4 linked regions of the Saccharomyces cerevisiae S288C genome follow. The protein of the gene in region 3 interacts with the protein of the main gene of each other region in a biochemical or structural test. Each region holds a gene or a part of one and is shown on either strand. Other genes may lie near its edges.

What was found.
Region 1: the proteins of TUB1 (region 3) and KIP2 form a complex in vitro, tested with the Saccharomyces cerevisiae proteins (one study listed by BioGRID).
Region 2: the proteins of TUB1 (region 3) and YCG1 form a complex in vitro, tested with the Saccharomyces cerevisiae proteins (one study listed by BioGRID).
Region 4: the proteins of TUB1 (region 3) and SHE1 form a complex in vitro, tested with the Saccharomyces cerevisiae proteins (2 studies listed by BioGRID).

Annotation. Positions count from the first base shown.
Region 1 is NC_001148.4:255,707-262,021, forward strand, and holds KIP2 (Kip2p), read right to left. Parts: upstream 3,631-6,315; coding exon 1,510-3,630; downstream 1-1,509. Other genes in the region: TGS1 (RNA methyltransferase), read left to right, coding at 1-55; pheromone-regulated protein PRM4, read right to left, coding at 207-1,061; PEP4 (proteinase A), read right to left, coding at 4,008-5,225; serine/threonine/tyrosine protein kinase RAD53, read right to left, coding at 6,021-6,315. UniProt on the Saccharomyces cerevisiae protein: Required for assembly of the mitotic spindle.
Region 2 is NC_001136.10:1,114,910-1,122,148, reverse strand, and holds YCG1 (condensin subunit YCG1), read right to left. Parts: upstream 5,024-7,239; coding exon 1,916-5,023; downstream 1-1,915. Other genes in the region: YSP2 (Ysp2p), read left to right, coding at 1-1,540; small subunit rRNA maturation protein UTP4, read left to right, coding at 5,386-7,239. UniProt on the Saccharomyces cerevisiae protein: Regulatory subunit of the condensin complex, a complex required for conversion of interphase chromatin into mitotic-like condense chromosomes.
Region 3 is NC_001145.3:96,233-101,817, reverse strand, and holds TUB1 (alpha-tubulin TUB1), read left to right. Parts: upstream 1-2,417; coding exon 2,418-2,442; intron 2,443-2,558; coding exon 2,559-3,877; downstream 3,878-5,585. Other genes in the region: YML083C (uncharacterized protein), read left to right, coding at 768-2,024; ALO1 (D-arabinono-1,4-lactone oxidase), read left to right, coding at 4,447-5,585. UniProt on the Saccharomyces cerevisiae protein: Tubulin is the major constituent of microtubules, a cylinder consisting of laterally associated linear protofilaments composed of alpha- and beta-tubulin heterodimers.
Region 4 is NC_001134.8:159,053-164,368, reverse strand, and holds SHE1 (She1p), read right to left. Parts: upstream 2,671-5,316; coding exon 1,654-2,670; downstream 1-1,653. Other genes in the region: ADP/ATP carrier protein PET9, read left to right, coding at 372-1,328; HEK2 (Hek2p), read right to left, coding at 3,040-4,185; RIB1 (GTP cyclohydrolase II), read left to right, coding at 4,676-5,316.

The sequences.
Region 1 (6,315 bases), on a different chromosome or scaffold from region 3:
ATCCACAACAACGACCAAAGATAATACTGTAGACATTTACGACGTAAATGGTTAAACACTTGTTCAAGTTGAATCGTATGATAGAAAATGCAATGACTATGTTATGAATGTATATATAGCACATAAAGAGGATCGCTTACGTGAATTTGGGAATAATTAAAACGTTCTTTTAGCTGCGGCTGCTCGTCGATAGGAGTGATAACAAATTAAGAATTAGAAGGGATGTCTTTTTTTTCTACCAGCAAGTTGCCACGCGCTTCAGACTTTAGAAGAGGTAGTAGCAATCCCTTCGAATGAGGTTCGATTATATCTCTCACCATTCCACGATTTATCACGGAAATACCATTCAAAAATAAATAAGGCGACTGAATGGATTCCAAGGCAGCACTAGTATCGATATTTAGTTTATTTTGTTTGATATACTTTTCTAATTCATAGCCATGAGAGTGTTTTTCCAAATCAACAGTGGCCAATTCGGGTGAAATCTCAAATTCTCTTTGTAATAGATTTTTTAAGAAAATGGAGTCTGCTTGTGATGATTTAATGAATAATACCGCTGGAGAGGTTCTTATTATATCTAGAAAATCTGTTCTAGGGTCGAATTTTTTGTGATCGCAGTTTTTCTGCAAGGCCAGAGAAGATGACCGTGGATTTAGTGTTGTTGTGGTCGTCGCCGTCACGACATTATCAGTTTGGAACGATCTTGAAGAAAATTTTGATGTAGCTTTGGATGAGGGTTCTGGGATGTCGACTTCAACCTCGCTTTGAATATTTGAAATTTCTTCTTTGACTTTTTGGAAATTTAGTTCATTTTCATTACTTAGAAAACTGTCTGCTGTCTTTAATAAGTTTGGCAACTTGTAAACGAACTTCTTTTCACTTTCTTCCTCACTATTTTTTTTGTTTTCGCTAGGGTCAGCAGAGTTGTAGAATTCCAAGGAGTCATTCCATGTAAGTAGTAAGAAGCTAAATACGCCAAGCAAAACGAGTGTTAGCGATATTATTCTCGTACTTCTCTTGATTGCTGTGTGCTTTTTCAAAACTGATGAATCCGCTATCATCTTTAACTGTTATTTTCCTTTTTTTAATTGCTCTTTACTGTTCTTGGAACAAGAGATTATGAAGTCTATAAAAGAACATATATATAAGTATTTAAGAGATAAGCCTGATTCAAAGACGTTTGCAAGTTTCAGTCACTTGGCCTTAACAATCTTTATATATTAATCCCTTTAGTACCTGCACAATTAAGGCCGAGACAGACTCGAAACAACCCCAAAACTTCTTGATCTTTATTAGCTGATGCCAAATTTTTTGGTACCACACTGAAACGAACTTCGTAAATCCATTATTTGTGTATTTTCTTAACGAGAAGTGCCTAAAAACTGCCTTTTATGCGCTGTCTTCTGAGAATAGATCCCGTTCAAGGCAAGCGCCGGGCAAGCGGAGGCGCAGTCTACAGAACAATCCGCACAAGGAAAAAAGCACCCGAGATCTGGGACCCTCACCTAATCATTTATCGTTATCCACGACAGGGTGCGGTGATTGCTGTGTATTAATGAGTGGTTTCAAAGCCCTATCCCGCAGTCGTTTGGCACTCTGCAGGGCCTCAATCATTTTATCCTTCCTCTCGAGCATCTTCTGTAATTCGATCACTTCAGTGCCGTCACACCCAGTTAGCGACATTGCAGTATGACCACTTTTTTCTAGCGCCATGATCTTGTCTTCAAGTTTTTGAGTGTATTTCCTATATTGCCTTATTTGTGATTCCAAACCTTGGAACTTTGTTTCCAAAAGGGTGCCGACCTCAAAGGGAAGCATTTCTACAATTTCCATAATCTCAGAATCTTGCAAATCAACCACATCTTTATCTAGTAGTTTTTCACAATTCTCTAGTTTATATTTTAATACTCGATTCTCCGCTCTCATTAGAGCCAAATTCGGATCACCATCATTGCCGGTGGCTTTAATGTCTTTATAAGTACTTTCATTGGAAGATTTGGTTAAGGGCTCGCCAATGTTTGAACGGTTCTTCAATTCAGAGATCATCCTACGTTGTTCTTCCAATTGGCGTCTCAGTAGCTCAATGGTGCGATCTTTATCTCCATCGTTATTCCCGTTACTGATGATGGATTTTTTGGATACATGAAGTGCGACGTTTTTCGCTCTTGATGCAAACCTCAGCGTATTCATAGTTTCCGCTGCCGCATCATTTCTGGTGTCGACTGTACATATCGTTGTCACTATGCTGTCACCGCTTAGTGCCGGCTGCAATAATCTAGTCAATTTAGAATCACGATATGGAATGTGGTTGCTTGGGCTAGTGCCGTTATTGGTAGCATTTCCACTACTGCTGCTACTGCCACTTGCAGATGGCGAGGGAATGTTTGAGCCTACTGAGTTCATCTTGTCGGCACTGAGTTTGGATATCACAGTCCCCAAAGCAAGTAAGGATTTGTTGATGAATGAACCTTCCTTTCTCCTCTCTTGTTGCCCCGTAGCCCTTTCCGAACCTGCTAGGTCACACAACGACAATGTACTCGATCTTGAGGTGCCGTTCTTTACGTTAGTACTTGTTAAACGAATCAGTACAATGGCATGAGATCGTGAGCTTCTTGCATTGTAGTCAGTTTCGCCAATTTTCCTACTTTTGTCACCAACTGCAATCCACCTCAATAATTCTTCACTACTTTCACATCTTCTTTCGGTGAGACCGATAACTTTGACCCCATACTGAGAGTCATCTCTGATTTTTAATTCTACGCCCAATCCATTGCTGTTGCTCTTGCTCATATATAACCTTGAAGGAGTACTGATTCTACTACCGGATTCTTCTAATCCGCTTTCTAACAGGTCGTAAATCCTTTCATTGTAAATTTCGAGGTACGATATTATAACGTCGAACTTTTTATCGCCATTCATTGATTGTTCCATGATATTGGTAAATAAATACGACACAGATAAAGGAATTAGGCCTAGCTCTTGTTCATTTCCGCTCATTGTAAACGTTTTACCTGACCCGGTCATACCGTACGCAAATATGGTGGCATTAAACCCCATCAATAACTTATCAATCATTGGTTTACTGGTTCTTTCATAAACTTCCAAATTAGTGCAATGGGAAGCAAAAACATGATCGAACTTGAACTCTCCAATTTCTTCATGCACTATTGTTTTGTCATTAGTAATAAACCAGGGGTCTCTAACAAATGTATTGCTACCGTGATGTGAGTTGGATCTTGGTTGAGAGTACCTGGGCGATTTTAGCCCCACATGGTCACGGGAAGTTCCAACGCTCCGTGGTTTCGGCCGGATGGTCACAGTGATTGACCCAGTATATGTATCGTTTTTTCTCGAGTTGTTGTTAATACTGTCGCTCCGCCTGATCCTTATCCTACCTGGGTGAAGGAAGGGATCGGATTTGGCTGATACGGATCTTAGTGGGGAGTTACTTCTAGTGGAAGATGCAGAAATCGACTGAGAACCCGAATTAGAGGTGCTCCGTATGGAGTTTCTTGTCAGATTAGAAAACGATGAAGTTGATCGTACAGAGGGCGATTGTGGGATATTACTTGAACCAGAACTAGACCTCGTTGATGGCCTCCTTAAGCTTGGGCTCATTTTTTGAATCATCAATGGTGGTATTATGGTAAGAATTTTATCAAGTGTTCTATGTTTGCCTTGATTTCAAATGTTTCTAGAGCGCAGCCTGTGAATCTCTGCAGCCTATTTCTTTTTATTTTTCGCTTCTGCTTACATTGCTTTATTATCAATTGTTCCGCTATTGGAAAAGGATAAACAAGGAAATTCTCGAGCCGCATCATCGGGCTACCCGCATATAATGACATTATGGGCAGCAGCATAGAACAATGGATTCTAAAACTGAGGACAAGATGGTTTGTCTTGTTTTTTTTTTTTAAATATACTATAGTTTTTTTTATTGTTATCTACTTATAAAAGCTCTCTAGATGGCAGAAAAGGATAGGGCGGAGAAGTAAGAAAAGTTTAGCTCAAATTGCTTTGGCCAAACCAACCGCATTGTTGCCCAAATCGTAAATAGAATAGTATTTACGCAAGAAGGCATCACCAACGATGGCCAGTGGGCCAACAGGTTCTGGGAAATCCATTGGTGTAATTGCAGAGATACAGGAGCCTGAAACTTCAAGCGTGTAATCGTATGGCCCAATAGTGAAGTTGTAGCCATTGAAGTTGAAAATTAGATCAGGTAGATTGTCTCTGGTGTTACAGTCTAGAGTATATTGACCGGTCCAACCCTTCTTGGCCCCAATTTCAGCATTAATCATTTCAGCTAATCCTGATGGCAAGGTAATCAAAGAAGTACCAGTATCGATGGCGGCACCATGGCTCTCCAATTCGGCGTACTCGTCGCCTAAACCGATACCTTCAAACTTGACTTCCCAGTAAGCCTTACGACGAACAGGTAACCAAGTGATATCGCCCTTGAACTTAGACTCGTCAATACCACCAAAGGTGGCTTCACCGCCATTTTCAGTATCCTTTGAAGTGTCTCCCAAATAAAAGGCAAATCTCTTTTCGTCCAACAAATCTTGTTGAATGGCGTTGTAAAATGGAGGGACCACCTTATCAACAGAAATGGTATCGTAACCCAAACCCAAAATACCATCGAACTTGCCAAATGCAAATGTTAAGCCCGGCTCGCTGGTAGCCTCAGCGAAGTCTTGTTTTGGAATGGTCAAATCCCCGATGGACAAAGTGTCTTGAGAAATGTAACCTTCCAAAGAACCAGTACCATATTGAATGGCAAATTCAGTACCATTAGCTTTGTAGCTTGATGAAGCTTCATGATCGTATTTAGAATGTAGGAAACAAGCCAAGGAACCACATTCGTTACTTGGAACCCAAAGGTTTGAAGAACCAGTATCCAAAATAACCTTGAAGTTTTGAGGTGGAGTACCCAAAGTAATGTCAGTGTAATATTGTGCGTTCAAGTAATTTGTCAATGGAACATCGTGACCACCTTCAGTGAAGAAAGGATGCTCCCTAGAAAAAACAACTTCGGGGTTAGCTTTCTCAAATTGAGTCAAGTACTTTTGGCCTAAATGAGCTAAATGTTGCTCGAAAGTGACTTCTTTCATCTCATCGGACAACTCGTGTTTATAAATTTTAGCCTTGTGGACTTTTGCAGCAACTTGGTTGGCGCTGACCAACAACAAGGCCAATGGCAATAATGCTTTCAAGCTGAACATGTTAGTTTTGGTTTTTGTTTGAATTTTATTTGGATTAAATACTAGGTCACTAGGCTTTTTTTTTTTCTTTTCTTATAGAATTCTAATAGAAAAAACTTTTTATGAATACAGTAGGGTGAGATATACTTTTTGTTATTCTTCCCTTACGTGGTAGGCTTCTCAAATAAAAATAGAAAAGACCACTAAAATTTGATTATAAAGGCTTCGCTCAAAAAAGAAGAAGGTGGAATGAATAAATAGCAGCGAATTACCCAAACTTCTTTACTCTGTTCCCTTAACCAGTTGATAAGAGGTTACGAAGTACGGAAGTATGGCTTTTTATATAAATCCTAAAAAGGGCCGCCTCCGCCCCTTAATCCATCGACACCCGCAAATGAAATATAGTACCCGGAAGGCATAAGACGGGTTACAGCCTCTCCATAGATTCAATAACCGCTTTTGGTTATAGAAATAATCAGACCTCAGCAAATACAATTGAGGAGCTCAAGATATTGAAAACGGATTAACAAACTTTTTAAAATTATTTATGAGCTTGTTGTACCACATCAAGCAGGATTATGTTTTTTTCAGAACTTCTTTTTCTGATTCAAAAATTCATTAAGCATAACTAAAACTGAAAATCAAAACTTATTAATATACAAAAATCTATATATTTCAAAATGTAAATCGTATCAAAACGTCACTCTATATGTAATAAAAACCCAAAAAGTTATGAATAGATGAATTCTGAGTATTGGTATCTACCATCTTCTCTCTTAAAAAGGGGCAGCATTTTCTATGGGTATTTGTCCTTGGTTACGAAAATTGCAAATTCTCGGGGCCTTTTGAGGTTTGGTCCAATTTTGCCCTTTTAACCTTCTTACTAGGATCAATTTGTGATTGCGATAAACTTACCGAATGTATTCTCTTCAAAATGTTCCCCGTATTCGCATTAATCGGTGACTCTACCAAGTCGTTTAGTACCGAATTATTGCCGTTATTATTTGTATCGCTAACTGGCGGCTTCTTAGCCGACATTGATGAAGAAGAAGCCGAGGGTTGATTTGCACGTTGAGCTGCCATCATCTGGGTTAACTTTTTCACCAAATCT
Region 2 (7,239 bases), on a different chromosome or scaffold from region 3:
AGATACTTTAGAGCATTATGATTTGGAAGACTATGTTAAAGTGCTCAGTATTACCAAGAACCCGGATGTTCCTTCAGGGAATATCTTTTCAGTGAAAACTGTTTTCCTTTTCTCTTGGGATAAAAACAACTCCACCAAATTAACAGTTTACAATTCTGTTGATTGGACTGGTAAAAGTTGGATCAAAAGTATGATTGAAAAGGGAACATTTGATGGTGTTGCGGACACCACAAAGATAATGATATCTGAAATTAAGAAAATCTTAAGTGATGAAGACTCAAACATAAACTCAAAGCATCAAGCCAGCAATAATGAATCAGAAGAAGAAATTATTAATCTGCCAACTATTGGACCTCCAGTTCATGATCCGACGGAACCTGATTTTCAAAAAGGAAAAGACGATACAGTTATCGATGAAAAAATTAATATACCAGTTCCTTTAGGAACAGTGTTTTCACTATTGTATGGTGATGACACATCATATATTAAGAAAATCATCGAAAACCAGAATAACTTTAATGTTTGTGATATTCCAAAGTTTGTGAATAACGCAAGAGAGATCACCTATACCAAAAAATTGAACAATTCATTCGGTCCGAAGCAAACTAAATGTATAGTCACAGAGACCATCGAGCATATGGATTTGAACAGTTTTTTTATGGTAAAACAAATAGTCAGATCTCCGGATGTTCCTTACGGTAGTTCATTTTCAGTACATACGAGATTTTTCTATTCCTGGGGTGATCACAACACAACGAACATGAAAGTTGTCACCAATGTTGTCTGGACAGGTAAATCAATGCTGAAAGGAACCATTGAGAAAGGTTCAATTGATGGACAAAGAAGTTCAACAAAGCAACTCGTAGATGATCTCAAAAAAATAATTTCTAATGCTAGTTCAACGAAGAAAAAATCGAGGAGAAGAGGAAAGACGGTAAATAAAAGGAAATCATCACCATCCACTATCAAGAATGAGAAGAATGAAGAAAACTTCGAAGATACAAGTACCAAAAATTCATTTTTTTCCGCTTTCTCAATGTTACAACAAGTAAACATAACATCCGTTCAAGGAATTATGACAATTATCTCTTTTTTTATTTGCTTGATTTTCTTCTTTAGATTATTATTCCATTCTAAGAATACTTCGAACATCCAGATTATTACTCCAGGAACAATCTTAATTAATGGAAATGAATATAATTACGTTCCTAATTTTAAAACACTCTATCATGTTTACGAAGATAATATTATAAAAGATGCCCGCCGTAAAGACTCGAATAAAAATAACATAGTCACCGATACGGAGGGTCTCATATGGGACTGGTTGATAGATCGTGGAAATGGAACCGTTCAAAATAGTGTCTTGTCCAATCATATTAAGGAGAGTAATAACAAGAAGGTTAAGCTCGTAAATGGAGTTAGTGATCATAAAATACAGCAGCTAGTTGAATCTATAAAAATCACCGAATTGCAGCTGCAAGAAATGAAAGAATTATTGGCCCAAACGGATAACACGTCGGCTACTAACCAATTACTTTGATAAAATAACATTTTTCGTTCTAATATAGTCAAGTAGGAAAATTCTACTCGACTTTATTTTGTTCTTTTGATCTTATTTCTTTTACTTTAATTATATATAGGATATTTTCTTAGGATAATTGTAATAAAATGCATTAATAGTTTTATATGTCCATTTCTGGTGCATTACTGGACATAATTTCAGTTCCTTTCACCAAAGAATTTATAGCCTTGGAATATTTCCATAATTTGTCCCACCGGGTAATGTGCGTAATGCAATAACATATAGCATCTATATCTGGTAAGCGTAGAAGAATTAACAAACCTAAGAATAAAATACAAATATGTTTACAACCAAAAAATCAACTTAAATAGATGAAGAGCTCGCATATCAATTTTAACAGACCTCGCTGAAAGACTCTGAATCCTTATCTTCTTCATCTATGGACATTGCATCTGATTTCTCGTCAGGTAAAACAAAACTTACATTTTTTGCTACAGTTGACGTGTCTTGAATACTCATGTTTTCCAGGTTTTTGGATGTGTCAATTTGCTCCGCTTCTGATCTCGTTCTTTTCCTTGAGTTACTTTGCTCTGTTGTATTGTCAACTGCCGAAATATTAACAGTTGTTTTAGTCAATTCTGTGTTATTTCCATCAGTTATATCAGCAGCGTGTTCTATGGTGTCATTTGAAGATTTATTGAATGAATTCCCCAAAATAGACGAGTATTGGTCATTCGCAGTGTTGTTCTCATCTTTTGTCTGAGTTTCTGACCTTTCATTGATCTCTTCAATCAGCGAATTCAAATTATTCCTTAGCTTGTCCAGAGCATTTTTGCTAACATTGTCTAAATTATCATTTTCTGCAATATCGTCAGAATACTCAAGAAGTTCTTTCAAAGTAGAATAATCTTGTTCAGAAGAAAGAAATATAGCGTTTATATTAGTGATGATCATCTTCTTTATTTCTTTCTTCTCAATTTGAGCGTATATTTTGAGCACATCGATCAAGAATGTAAGCTGCACTGTATCTTTTTTTGTTGAACCTGTCTGGTTAACTAAGTTACGTGGATCAGTCCAAAATAGCAACTGTTGAAATATTATGTTAGGCTTTAGCATAGCTTCACGGTCTACCTCAGGTATTACAGAGCTCTGTAAATCGTCCCAAAGAACACATAGTCTTAAGAGTATGTCCGCAGCCGTCCTAGACATACGTTGTTGATGAGCAGGATGTGAAAAACAATAGACTGGAATGCAGAAGGCAAATGCCTGTACCAGCGCTTCGTTTGAGGAATTTATCGGCGAAAAATATGACAAAACCAACGTTTCAAACAAATCATCATCAGTGAACACGTCTGCCAAAAATAGTTTGCATAAACCCTCCGCTGCTATCACCTGACATTCCGGTAAACCGTTATTCTTTAAAACCTTGTAAAATATTTTGTGCAACGAGATTGAGTCAACTTTGCCTTCTCCGTCTACCACAGTGTTCCCATGTACGGAAAAAATATCTACAATGACTTGTAACGCAATATACTTTAATGATGCATTACCTTTCGAAACGCACATACCTAAGATGTACATGTTATCAATAGCCAACTTCACATCCAAGAGACAACATAAACCAAGGTTCTTGACACCAAGCTCCCTAATATTTGGCGCGGTATTTCTAACCGCTGGTGTGATCAAAGTGTCCATCAACGACGCAATTAAAATGTTTTCTGTTAACGGTGTGTTAACTAGTTCTAGCATATATGATGACCTTGTAAGACAGAGAACAATTGTTGCTGAGGACGCTTCCTTTTCGGGTGGGAGATTATTTATTATGTCACTCTCAGATACGTTGCCGTTTCCCTGCACTAAGTTTTCTACAGCAGAATGGAAGGATGAAATATTGTCGTCTTCTTCATCCTCGTTAACTTCGTCATTATGTGTGCCGTTTTCGTCCTCTTCATCGACGGAAGTCTCATTTCTGCGATTAATCTTCTTGCTTTTTATTTTCTCTTCTTGTTCTTGTTTTTCAATATCGTCGTCTCTAATATCATTAATGATTTCTATTGCCATTGTTACAAAATCTTTTTCATTTATGGACAGACTTTTCATTACACGAATACCAATTTTAATAAGAGGTTCGGAGAGTGTAGTTAAGGCCAGCATATTTCGTACCACTGTAAGCATCGATCTCCTTCCAACCTCATCGCTATAATCATACCTTTCGGCGGCAATCGATAGTTGCTCAATAATAAACTCTAAAGTGTTATAATCAAAATGCGACTGAGAGTCATTAGAAATGTCGTTGTGATGATATCTGAGAAGAATATAATGGTTTAAATGCTCGGATAATTTTGAGGCTTCTGGAAAGTTTTCTTCCAGCATTTCTGTTATATTATTATCCAAACAGTACAAATAAATAGCCCGAAAGAGGAAGGCAATTTCTACGGTAAAGTCTTTCCAAATACTTTCAGGAAATTTGATTTTAGATAATATATCTGGCCTTGATTGAAAAAGTGCTTCTATAGCCTTAACACACACTGAGGATCTTGAGACATCCAATTTTTCTAGTAATTCTATCAAATCGCCATCCAGAGCATTTAACCAATCATGAGCAATGAGTCTCTTACACGCATTTCTCACTGATAATTCCCTATCTTCTAAACCCCACTCAATCAATTGATCAAAAATATGCGGCTCAATATCATCGAAACACTTTCTTCCCATTGATTTCAAAATTCTCGAATACACGAGCCTTCTATTAACGATGTTTACATCTCTAGCCCTCTCCAAGATATACGGTCTAGTATTATTATCATTGATCAAATTCAGCATTGCAGCCCTCCGTACTTCAGCTGACGGATCGTTCTGGATAGAAGCAACTAGAGTTCTCGTAGCTTCAAAATTTTCTTCATTATCAGAAAGCTCAGTTAAATGTTCAGTTTGCTCTTCATCCTGAAATTTAGTTAAACAAAACACAGCCTGTATCCTAACCGTTGGTTCTCTATCATAAATCCTCTTATTTAAAGACAATATTAATAAATTGAAAAGTGATTCATCGATTTCCCCTATATTATCCATTATAACGGCTAATAACTGTAAAACTCTAAATCTGACGTTCTTGTCAGGGCTTTCCACACCACGCAAAACATGTCTTATGAACTGATCGACGAACCTTGAGAATATCCCTTCTTCATCATTCGTGAGCTTATAGTTTTGTTTTTTGGCCAATATCAACTCCCTTTCTAAAGAAGCTATAAATGCAGCTACTAACTTTACTATCCTGTCTCCGATAATCTCATTCTTTTTCAGAGGAAGGATCTTAGTAACTAATTTATCGAACCAAAAGTTAAAAGCATCTTCATAGCCTTGCTCAACAGCCTTTGACTGAATTTTCTTCAAAACTGCTATATGCTTCCTGTGTCCTGCATAAGAACCCTGTGCCTTTTGAAATACTTCAGCAACTGAGTTAAAGATTTTCGTATTAATGTCAATACCATCAGGATCTTGCATGATGGGCGCGGCCTGTTAACTTCTTTGTCTTATCCAAGGCTGTAGGCATTACTGAAGTGTTTTTGTTTGATCTTCAAAGAGCTAAAAAGGTAAACAAACACGAAGGCTCTACCCTTTCATATGCGGTGCACGGATTTTAAAAGTCGCAATAACTCAAGAATACGATAGATGCAATAAATCAGAGGTAAAGTGCTTTAGGCTAATACTATGAGCAATTCAGTATAACCTGCATTATCTCCTTGTTTTCCTTTGTATCCCCCATGATTTTTTTTTCTTGTTATTCCTCTTGATACCATATTAGGCAGGATTTTTTTCAAAAAACCAAATGAAAAATTTTCAGACTGACAAGAAAAAAGCTACGAATGAGCTCATCGCTACTTTCAGTTTTAAAAGAAAAGTCAAGAAGCCTGAAAATACGAAACAAACCGGTGAAGATGACCAGTCAGGAAAGGATGATAGTGCATAGATGCAGATTTGTGGATTTCACTCCTGCCACAATCACATCTCTAGCATTTTCACATAAATCAAATATAAATAAGTTAACTCCGTCCGATTTGAGATTAGCTATTGGTAGATCTAATGGTAACATAGAAATCTGGAATCCTAGAAACAATTGGTTTCAGGAAATGGTTATCGAAGGTGGCAAAGACAGATCAATTGAAGGCCTTTGCTGGAGCAACGTTAACGGCGAGTCTCTAAGGCTATTTTCTATTGGCGGCTCGACTGTGGTAACAGAATGGGATTTAGCAACAGGTTTACCATTAAGAAACTATGATTGCAATTCAGGTGTGATATGGTCTATTTCCATCAACGATTCACAAGACAAGCTGTCTGTGGGTTGCGATAATGGGACGGTGGTCCTCATAGATATCTCTGGCGGGCCTGGTGTCTTGGAACACGATACTATTTTGATGAGACAAGAAGCCAGAGTATTGACTTTGGCTTGGAAAAAGGATGACTTCGTGATTGGTGGTTGTTCTGATGGTAGAATAAGGATTTGGTCTGCACAAAAAAATGACGAAAACATGGGTCGTCTATTACACACTATGAAGGTCGACAAGGCCAAAAAAGAATCAACTCTAGTTTGGTCAGTTATATATTTACCAAGAACTGATCAGATTGCCTCTGGTGATTCTACAGGCTCCATTAAATTCTGGGATTTCCAGTTTGCCACGCTAAACCAGTCATTTAAGGCGCACGATGCAGACGTACTGTGTCTAACTACCGATACTGATAATAATTATGTTTTTAGTGCTGGTGTGGACAGAAAAATCTTTCAATTTTCTCAAAACACTAACAAATCTCAAAAGAACAACAGATGGGTAAATTCTTCTAATAGGTTGCTTCATGGAAACGACATTAGAGCAATATGTGCATACCAATCTAAAGGTGCAGATTTTCTAGTTTCAGGAGGTGTTGAAAAAACACTAGTCATCAACTCACTTACTTCTTTTTCTAATGGAAACTACAGGAAGATGCCAACTGTCGAACCTTATTCAAAGAATGTTTTAGTTAACAAAGAGCAACGCCTTGTTGTTTCATGGAGCGAATCTACTGTTAAGATATGGACAATGGGAACCGATTCTAGTACAGAACAGAATTATAAGCTAGTTTGCAAGTTAACTTTAAAAGATGACCAGAATATCTCAACTTGTTCTTTATCACCTGATGGACAAGTTTTAGTCGTAGGGAGGCCCTCTACCACTAAAGTTTTTCATTTACAGCCCGTAGGTAATAAATTGAAAGTGACTAAACTAGATAATGACCTATTATTGAGAACTTCCACAAAATTAGTCAAGTTCATCGATAATTCCAAAATTGTCATATGCTCTTGCGAAGATGATGTATTTATTGTGGATCTAGAATCTGAAGAAGATGAAAAACCGCAAGAAGTTGAACTTTTGGAGGTTACTTCAACTAAGAGCAGTATCAAAGTTCCCTATATTAACAGGATCAACCATTTGGAAGTAGACCAGAACATTGCAGTAATTTCTCGTGGCTGTGGAGTCGTAGACATATTAGACTTAAAAGCAAGGATTTCTAAACCACTTGCTCGTTTGAATAATTTCATCACCGCTGTTCATATCAATACTTCTAGAAAATCTGTAGTAGTAATTACTGCAGACAATAAGATTTATGAATTCAATATGAATTTGAATTCGGAAGCCGAGAATGAAGATAGCGAAAGCGTATTAACTCAATGGTCAAAAAACAAT
Region 3 (5,585 bases):
CTATAGCCCTTACTCTCTGCGTGGCCCTGCTATACTTCTTTCACTATTGAGAGGCAATTTTTTCATCAAATTTTCATTGCGAATTTTCCAGACGGCATCGCACAGGTAGTCGGGTAACACGAAGATGTGGTTTTTCAACTTGGTAAGGACTGCTATTAAAGAGGTCAGTCGATACAACGAGAGAAACTTAAACTTACACGTCTATCCTTGGCGTCCATGTTGAGCATGGTATTATCTTCACCTGCTGCCTGTCTTTAAATCGAGGGTATCCGCACCGCAGTTCGTGACCTGTGCCTGCGTTATGCGAGAGCAAAAGGGCCCTTAACGAGCCGGCACCTAAACGAAAATTTCAAGGGTTTTTTTGGCGGTGCCTAATAAGGAACGCGCAGAACAATAGACCCTGCCGGTAAACGATGGCCTTGCAGTCGTATACTGTTAAAACTGTTGAGTGGGTGAATGGCAGGGCCTAACTGCTTGCCTAGGAGTACCGCAGGAACGGTACGAATCGAGTGGAGACAGCAAACCTTGACGTGTGCTTGCTTTTAAACGGGTCGGAGAATTTACTCTTGAGCATATACGTGTGGGCATATGCATACAAATATATAAATACATTCGGGTGTATACGTAAATATATAAATATATAAAGTAACATATGTATATAAAGACGAAAGATTGAACGCCATCGTGGAGAGGGTTTTCGTATGAAGGTGCCTTAAGTCTTGTGTAGAAGTAGTTCTTTAGTTAAGATAGAACCTGGTAAAGACTCAATGGACTATTTACATGTATATAACAACAACCAGGCGCACGTTCCCAGAACACCTCCAGGCAGGCAGTGCCTATCGCCCGTTCTGCCCCCAATCATATTGGCGTTAGATCAACAACATTCGCTGACATTTGGGTACTCCAGCCCCAGGTGCTTGCCAACACCCATATTGCCTTCTATGAGCACAAATACGCCCGTCCATTGGTCACAACAGGTTGTCACTATCCCTGTCGCTGTACGAAATCATGCCGCAATGATGCCTATTATCACACCTATGACCTCCCCAAGACCTCAGTTTGAAGCAACGGCTCCCTCACCCCCTTTGGCCCCGGTCGCCATAAAGCTGCCAGATTTGAAACTACCACCGTCGCCTGTGCCCAGCACAGTAGAGGACAGAGTTTCACATCCTATCCTGCCCAAAATTGTGATCGGGAATGGCGGCGGCCGTGATGTTGAGCGAGATAGTACCGAGGAATTAATTAGGAAGATTCCAAACTACATTGGTTGTGCAAAAACAAAGGCACAATTGAGCAAAGTTAGGTCTGGTAAACAACTAATTGCATGCGCACAGGAATATCACCATCCAGTAAACAAGGACGAGATCGAAAATATCAACAACATTCTAAACTTCAGGGACTTTATTTTCAAGCATCCAAAATCCTCCTTCGAGTTCCTATGTACCCTGTCGTTTGAGCAGTTCGTTAGAGTATATTCATTCATTAGTTTCATCTACAGGACAAAGAAAATCAATAAGAACAAGTACGAACTCGTTTGTGAGATGAATGTTCACGAGCAACTCAGCAATAAGCGTATACAAAGAACAAGGACTCCTGAAAAGTACAAAATACATTTGATCTGCGAGTCAAAACTCATACTGACCTTCAACCACTGTACGAAGACAGTAAAATTTGAGTCTATCAATGGCGGGCACTGCCATCCGATTTCAGCCAACCACATTATCAAGCCCTCCCTCTTCCTTACCCACTGCATTAATAAATGCTACCAGACCGTGTCAGACCCTACCGATTTGAAATTGGCATTGAGAGACGCCTTAGAAGCCCTTGATCATGAAAGGATAGGATTGTCTTTCTTAAAGAGGAGACATTTCAAGTGCTCACACCAAGCATCATCACTCTCGAATGCCAGCGCCACATTGAAGAAACAAGAAGATCATGACACATTTGGTGTACATACAGGAATAATTCATACGGCAAATTTCTTCATGTTTAATGCATCTAGCGATATATTCCAGAGGAACTAACATATATAAATATCTGTATCCTTCTTTAAGAAAACACAATTGCATACTTTTTCCATTATAACTGACTGTTTCAGATCCTGCAATAGAAAGTATTTTTTAAGTAATGAAATAGTGCTTCCATTGATAGTAAGTGAGTAATAAGACGATCGGAAACTATTAATATAAGTATAGTTTACATATATATATATATATATGTGCCAGACGATAATATCACCGTAGTTTCCGGCCGGGTTATGCCACGCGAAAACGCCTCGAGCCAAGGGAAAAACTAAACTACAAAACAAAACAAAACAAAACAAAAACATCTACTATATCGTTTTACCCAATTCAGTATATCCGTCTACAACAGTTCTCGCCACCCAAGATCTGTAAACTTACAACTGCAAACAAACAATGAGAGAAGTTATTAGTATTAATGGTATGTTCGATTTGCCCGTCCAGGCTAGATCTTTTTTTTGTTAGTTCATTTTGGCGTTTCATCTTTCATTACTAACTTCAACGCAAAATTTTTTTTTTTTTGATTTCTCTTTACAGTCGGTCAAGCTGGTTGTCAGATTGGTAATGCCTGTTGGGAATTATATTCCCTTGAGCACGGTATTAAGCCGGATGGACATCTAGAAGATGGCCTTTCAAAGCCGAAGGGAGGAGAAGAGGGTTTCTCCACGTTTTTCCATGAAACCGGCTACGGTAAGTTCGTTCCAAGGGCTATTTACGTGGATTTAGAGCCCAACGTTATTGACGAAGTCCGTAACGGTCCTTACAAGGACTTGTTCCATCCAGAACAGTTGATCAGTGGTAAGGAGGACGCGGCTAATAATTATGCAAGAGGCCATTACACCGTTGGTAGAGAAATTTTGGGCGATGTTCTGGATAGGATTAGAAAACTGGCAGACCAATGTGATGGGTTACAAGGGTTCTTGTTTACCCATTCTCTTGGTGGTGGTACTGGTTCCGGTCTAGGGTCCTTACTGTTGGAAGAACTATCCGCTGAATACGGTAAGAAATCCAAGCTGGAATTTGCCGTATACCCTGCTCCACAAGTGTCTACTTCTGTGGTTGAGCCTTACAACACAGTTTTAACTACACATACTACATTGGAACATGCAGATTGTACTTTCATGGTCGATAATGAGGCTATTTACGACATGTGCAAAAGAAACTTGGATATCCCAAGACCAAGCTTTGCAAACTTAAACAACCTAATTGCTCAAGTGGTATCATCTGTTACAGCATCATTGAGATTCGACGGTTCATTAAATGTAGATTTGAACGAATTTCAAACCAATTTGGTTCCATATCCAAGAATTCATTTCCCCTTAGTTTCATATTCTCCAGTCTTATCCAAATCAAAGGCATTCCATGAGTCCAACTCTGTGTCAGAAATTACAAACGCTTGTTTTGAACCTGGTAACCAGATGGTCAAGTGTGATCCAAGAGATGGTAAATACATGGCTACTTGTCTGTTATACAGGGGTGATGTGGTAACAAGAGATGTTCAAAGAGCTGTCGAGCAGGTGAAAAACAAGAAGACCGTCCAATTGGTTGATTGGTGTCCAACTGGTTTCAAGATCGGTATTTGCTACGAACCTCCAACTGCCACACCAAACTCACAATTGGCCACTGTGGATAGGGCCGTCTGTATGTTGTCAAATACCACATCCATTGCTGAGGCTTGGAAGAGAATCGATAGAAAATTCGATTTAATGTATGCCAAACGTGCTTTCGTCCACTGGTATGTCGGTGAAGGTATGGAAGAAGGTGAATTCACCGAAGCTAGAGAAGATTTGGCTGCTTTAGAAAGAGATTACATCGAAGTGGGTGCCGACTCATACGCTGAGGAAGAGGAATTTTAAGGTTCACTCTCGCCCCCAACCTCCTTATCCTTTCTATATTTCAAGTATATTGTAAAAAAAAAAATTCCCCCTACTGTTATATCTCTTTGGTGATATCTTATCTATAATCTACTTATTATATTTCTCTAATATCTATGTACAAAAAATAAAAAAAAAAACCATTCTCCTTCTCTAACCTGCATTTGATGAAAGCTTAGTAAGTCTCATCGTAGTTGATGGGCCAAAGACATTTGTACTTGTTTCATCAGATTCTTACATCACCCATTTCCATGATTATTTCACGGATTTCATTAGTAATTGCATTTTTGTATCCCTAGTTCCTTTTCTCCCGCCTTGCCGTCGAATTGAAAAAAAAAATGGAAATGAGGACATCTTCCATTGATATCCAGGACAAAGCAAGAGTAGAAGTAACTATTAGCAAGGAGAATTCCAAAAATAGTGAACTTCAAGGTAAGCAGATCTATAGTTTCAATATCTGATTTTCTGCTTTTCAAAACTTAAAATTCATTAGAAGGTAAAACAAGAACCCGTAAAATTAAAGTTACCGATATTATCAGGTTTTTCACCCCATGTCTACTATCCCATTTAGAAAGAACTATGTGTTCAAAAACTGGGCCGGAATTTATTCTGCAAAACCAGAACGTTACTTCCAACCAAGTTCAATTGATGAGGTTGTCGAGTTAGTAAAGAGTGCCAGGCTAGCTGAAAAAAGCTTAGTTACTGTTGGTTCGGGCCATTCTCCTAGTAACATGTGCGTTACTGATGAATGGCTTGTTAACTTAGACAGATTGGACAAAGTACAAAAGTTTGTTGAATATCCTGAGTTACATTATGCCGATGTCACAGTTGATGCCGGTATGAGGCTTTACCAATTGAATGAATTTTTGGGTGCGAAAGGTTACTCTATCCAAAATTTAGGCTCTATCTCAGAACAAAGTGTTGCTGGCATAATCTCTACTGGTAGTCATGGTTCCTCACCTTATCACGGTTTGATTTCTTCTCAATACGTAAACTTGACTATTGTTAATGGTAAGGGCGAATTGAAGTTCTTGGATGCTGAAAACGATCCAGAAGTCTTTAAAGCTGCTTTACTTTCAGTTGGAAAAATTGGTATCATTGTCTCTGCTACTATCAGGGTTGTTCCCGGCTTCAATATTAAATCCACTCAAGAAGTGATTACTTTTGAAAACCTTTTGAAGCAATGGGATACCCTATGGACTTCATCTGAATTTATCAGAGTTTGGTGGTACCCTTATACTAGAAAATGTGTTCTATGGAGGGGTAACAAAACTACAGATGCCCAAAATGGTCCAGCCAAGTCATGGTGGGGTACCAAGCTGGGTAGATTTTTCTACGAAACTCTATTATGGATCTCTACCAAAATCTATGCGCCATTAACCCCATTTGTGGAAAAGTTCGTTTTCAACAGGCAATACGGGAAATTGGAGAAGAGCTCTACTGGTGATGTTAATGTTACCGATTCTATCAGCGGATTTAATATGGACTGTTTGTTTTCACAATTTGTTGATGAATGGGGGTGCCCTATGGATAATGGTTTGGAAGTCTTACGTTCATTGGATCATTCTATTGCGCAGGCTGCCATAAACAAAGAATTTTATGTCCACGTGCCTATGGAAGTCCGTTGCTCAAATACTACATTACCTTCTGAACCCTTGGATACTAGCAAGAGAACAAACACCAGTCCCGG
Region 4 (5,316 bases), on a different chromosome or scaffold from region 3:
TCACGATGCACGAGCACTGTTTCCAATGGAGAACAAGCGAAAGGCGGTAAATGCGCTATGCTGATTGGTGTAGAGCGCGGGCCAATGAGAAGGCCCCACTCTCAGAGGGTGAGGTGCGATTATCGGGGACATGTCTCCGTCGATCGGGCCCACGTCGTCGCACAATATAAATACCATTTGAGTTTTTAATATTAATTTTTCACGACAACCCACTCAAAAAAGTATATATTCACTGTTAGTTATACGGAACATTGCAATACATCTACAAGTCAAAGGAGCCCCTCTATATTATTTATATTTGTCGTTGTTCTTTTTTGTGTGCTCTTTTATACTTCAGAATCATACATTAACATACATATAAGCAAATAGCCATGTCTTCCAACGCCCAAGTCAAAACCCCATTACCTCCAGCCCCAGCTCCAAAGAAGGAATCTAACTTTTTGATTGATTTCTTAATGGGTGGTGTCAGTGCCGCTGTCGCCAAAACTGCTGCATCTCCCATCGAAAGAGTTAAACTTTTGATCCAAAACCAAGATGAAATGTTAAAACAAGGTACTTTGGACAGAAAATACGCAGGTATCTTAGACTGTTTCAAGAGAACCGCTACACAGGAAGGTGTTATCTCATTCTGGAGAGGTAACACTGCTAACGTTATCCGTTATTTCCCCACTCAAGCTTTGAATTTCGCCTTCAAGGACAAGATCAAGGCCATGTTTGGTTTCAAGAAGGAAGAAGGTTACGCCAAATGGTTTGCCGGTAACTTGGCATCTGGTGGTGCTGCTGGTGCCTTGTCATTACTATTTGTTTACTCTTTGGATTATGCAAGAACTAGATTGGCTGCTGACTCCAAGTCCTCTAAAAAGGGTGGTGCTCGTCAATTCAACGGTTTGATCGATGTCTACAAGAAGACCTTAAAATCTGATGGTGTTGCTGGTCTTTACAGAGGTTTCTTACCTTCTGTCGTTGGTATTGTTGTCTACAGAGGTCTATACTTCGGTATGTACGATTCTTTGAAGCCTCTATTGTTGACTGGTTCTTTGGAAGGTTCATTCTTGGCTTCATTCTTGTTGGGTTGGGTTGTTACTACTGGTGCTTCTACATGTTCTTACCCATTGGATACCGTTAGAAGAAGAATGATGATGACCTCCGGTCAAGCTGTTAAGTACGACGGTGCCTTTGACTGTTTGAGGAAGATTGTTGCTGCTGAAGGTGTTGGTTCTCTATTCAAGGGTTGTGGTGCTAACATCTTAAGAGGTGTCGCAGGTGCTGGTGTTATCTCAATGTACGACCAACTGCAAATGATCTTGTTTGGTAAGAAGTTCAAATAAGTCTAATCTGGCTTGATTCTTAATCTAAATTCTTTCTCACATTTTCCTTTTTTTCTTCTTTGGATTTTTGGTGTTTAATGAGTGACACGATTTGTTTTGATAATATTATTATCCTCCTATTTTTTTAGAAATTCTTTTCAACAAGAATCAAAGATTCATAAAAAAAGAAAACGATGAAATTTTTTGAACAACTTTTACGTATAAAGAAGAAAAAAAAAAAATTCTAAATATCCAGTAAATAGTTTTATATTAGTAGTATTCTTTCCCACTTTTTAAATGTCATCACATGATGTTTCTTATAAAATGCAATTTTTTTATTACTTAATCACCGCCAAATAGGTCTATCACTCTTTGTGCCGGTGGCAGTACTTTGCTTAAGGTTACTGGACAATGAACCACTTGTCTTACTTTTAACCAACCGAGTCTTTACATTTGTGTGTTCCTTGGATTTTGCAGAGGTTCCTGACGATAAGTTGTTCATAGACGTCGACCTAGAGAACGTTGTTTGCTTGTAAAGTCTATCAAAAACGGAAACTGAATTCTTCAATTGCGAATTTGTTCCTTGCGCAACTGGCGTGCGTTCTACCGGTTTGGTTTTGGCGTGTAAATCTCTTATTGATATCGATCTGTGTACTTTAGATCTTGGTATCGATGAAGCTGTCGAAGAGGAGGATGTATTACGGTGAGCGGAATTGATCTTGTTCAAAGAATTCGTAGTGGGCATTAGAAAGTTTGGTTTGTGCATAAATGGCTTGGGCTTTGACAATGGTGTGTTCTTTATTGAATTAATGTTAGAATTTGCTTGCATAGATCTCGCTCTAGCCACTATGTCATTACCATTAACCAATGAGTTCCGTAATTTCAATCTTCGTATTCTTCTTGTGATATCGTTTACCACTGGTGTAGTGTATGGAATTGAGCGGGACGGTCTCGACCTTTTCATCGAATCCGATCGATCCTGTGGGATTGCATGTTGTGACTTTCTCTTGGGCGTATGTAAAAGGGTATAATGTGTGTCTAGCGACTCCATCTGGCCAAATTGAGAGTCGTGCTTTGCTTGGAAGAACTCATTAATATTATACGAGCCCGATTTTGGTTCATTGTTCTTGTCGCCGTTGTATTGTTGTTCGGATTGATCTTTTAAAAATTCAAATTTTGAGCTAGCTCTAGAATCCAGTTCACTTAATACAGAATTTCCTAATCTTTTGGAAACGCCAATAGTCTCGATGATATTGCTATTGTTATTTGAATGAAAGTCTATACTCATATGCGGCGGCGTGAAACCATTAATTTGTGAAGTGGTGTCTTTTTCGTTATGCTCTTCTTGGAGTTTATCATTCATCCATGAAGATAATATGTGTTCTAGAGCTGTAATTGCATGTTTATTGTTTATTTGTTTATACCATTGCCTAGAAACTTACGATTTTTTCATGTTATTTTCCCCTTCCCTCTCTGTGCCTCTAGCCGGCGATGCGCGAAATGTTTAAAGCAAGAATTTCGATAGTAATAAAGAAAATACAACGGCTTTATTGAGTATTTATAAAACGTTTTTTTTTAATTCAAAATACATATACATGAATAAATATATACATATTGAATCATTTTTTTCCCTTTAATAAAAATACAGTTTAAACTAGTAATGATGCAACATTATTCGTTAAGATGATAGTTTGTTTTGTCTGTGTGGGACGTGCGCACGCACACGTATATACTACGACTGCTCCTCTTTGTTATCATGATTCTCTTGAGGTTCTTCCTTCTCTTCCAAGAAAGAAGCAGAATCAGAGCGTTCAGTAACAACAGTGGCATCTCCTTCGGCAGCTTCCAATTTTCTCTTGTAGTTTTCACGTTTCTCAATTTCAGTATTCAGGTTCTTCAAAAGCATGGACTCAGCAAGTTTGACATTCTTAGGAAATTTACTTGTGATTATGAATTTTCTAAAATTTTCGTCTTTATCATCGTCATCCTTCCTTTCCACGACAATATTGGTTTTTGTGAAAGTTTTCAAATTCTTAATTCTGTTCATTCCACGGCCAATAATGGCGCCTACATACAGTTCTGGAATCTTCAATTCGATCCTAGTGTTAGATGAGGTAGAAGGGGAAGTTGGCTCACCGGAGGACTTTTTCAGATGAGGGAAATAAGATCTTTCTGTGCTGAATCTGACGTCAACGTCACTCAAGATGATCTCGCTAATTTCGATAAGTACATTGGTGATGGATCCTGGGAAACCCTGGATCTCGATAATTCTCTCGTCGCTAGCAGGTAAGAAGTCCTTGGAAGCCACGATCTTAACGCCGTGCTTATTGATCAGGGACTTGATGGTGGCGCCTGCTTTCCCGATAATCGATGAGATATGGGAATTGGCCACAATGAGCCTCACATAACCGATGTCCTCCAGTTGCTGCAGATCTCTGATCTCGTCCTTTGAGGGAGCTGGTAAAATATGGTTCAAAAAGTGGAAGTAGTAGTGCTCTTCCGCTTCGCCCTCAGCTGCGTCCTCATTTTCGGGATTCCGTTTGTTAAGCACGTCAACAATATCACCAATGGCATTGGCCACATTGATTACGTTCCCAGCACAGGACAGGATCCTGTCAGAGCAACCGGGCACCTTTTCAGAAATACCGATCTTGACGGCGTTTGCAGCTCTTATGCGTGAGATGGTGGAGCCCTTAGTGCCAATGATCTTGGCAGCCTCTTTCAATGACAGCAAAAGCCTGTGATTGATGGTGGGTTGAGCGGTGGTGCCAACAACGGGGGCGCCGCCAGTGGCGGCGCTGCCGGCATCACTGGAGCCGCCGTTGGTATTGTTTGTGGGAATTGCAACGGGAGTAGCAGCTTCGAAGAACTGTGACATGGCTGGTATATATACTAATGCTGTCTCTAAGTTACCCGATAAGTTGATGCTTTGTTGTACAGGGGACGCGCGATAGGAGTGGGGAGCAATATGCTTTTACTTCGTATGCCAAGTAGTTATATATGCTCGGGTACTTATGCTCCAGATTATAGTCTTGTTTGTTGTTTGGCTGAGCGGCCGGACACACAGAAAAAAAACAAAAGGGCTTTCGTTAAAAGGGATAGGGTAATGTCTAGACTTAGCATAGGGCTAAAACAGAAATAGTAGGGTCTATACCGTTTTTGAAAACAAGTTGTGTAGGGTGAGACTTTTTCTTTTTCCTTTGAGTTTTTCTTTTTCTTTTTACGATTTGTCAGAAATTAGTCGGACGCTCTTGTGGGGTGAGCGCCAGCGCCGCTATAGTATATATAAAGAAGTTGCTGTGCTGGCGTGGACAATAATTGAGTCATTACAAAAAGTGGCGTACATAAAACTACAACAAACCTACAGGATGACCATAGATAACTACGACAACAGTAAACAGGATAGCAGCAAATACGAGGTTAGTGGTACGGGTGATGGCAGGAACGGCGATGGCGGCTTGCCTCTAGTACAATGTGTCGCAAGAGCTCGTATCCCAACCACACAGGGTCCGGATATCTTTTTACATCTTTACAGTAACAACAGGGACAACAAGGAACATCTAGCCATTGTGTTTGGTGAAGACATACGGTCGCGCTCGCTATTCCGTAGAAGACAGTGCGAGACGCAACAAGATAGAATGATCAGGGGCGCTTATATTGGCAAACTGTATCCCGGCAGAACTGTGGCAGACGAAGACGATAGACTCGGATTAGCTCTGGAGTTTGATGATAGTACAGGTGAGTTATTAGCTTCCAAAGCCACTACATGGGACGCCCATAACGACACGCTGGTACGGATCCATTCTGAATGTTACACCGGTGAAAACGCATGGAGCGCCCGTTGTGATTGTGGTGAACAATTCGATAGGGCCGGTAGGCTTATCGCTTGCGACCACGAACCCACAAGCAACATCAAAGGTGGAAACGGCCATGGTGTTATCGTGTATCTAAGACAAGAGGGTCGTGGCATCGGGTTAGGTGAGAAACTCAAGGCCTACAACCTGCAAGA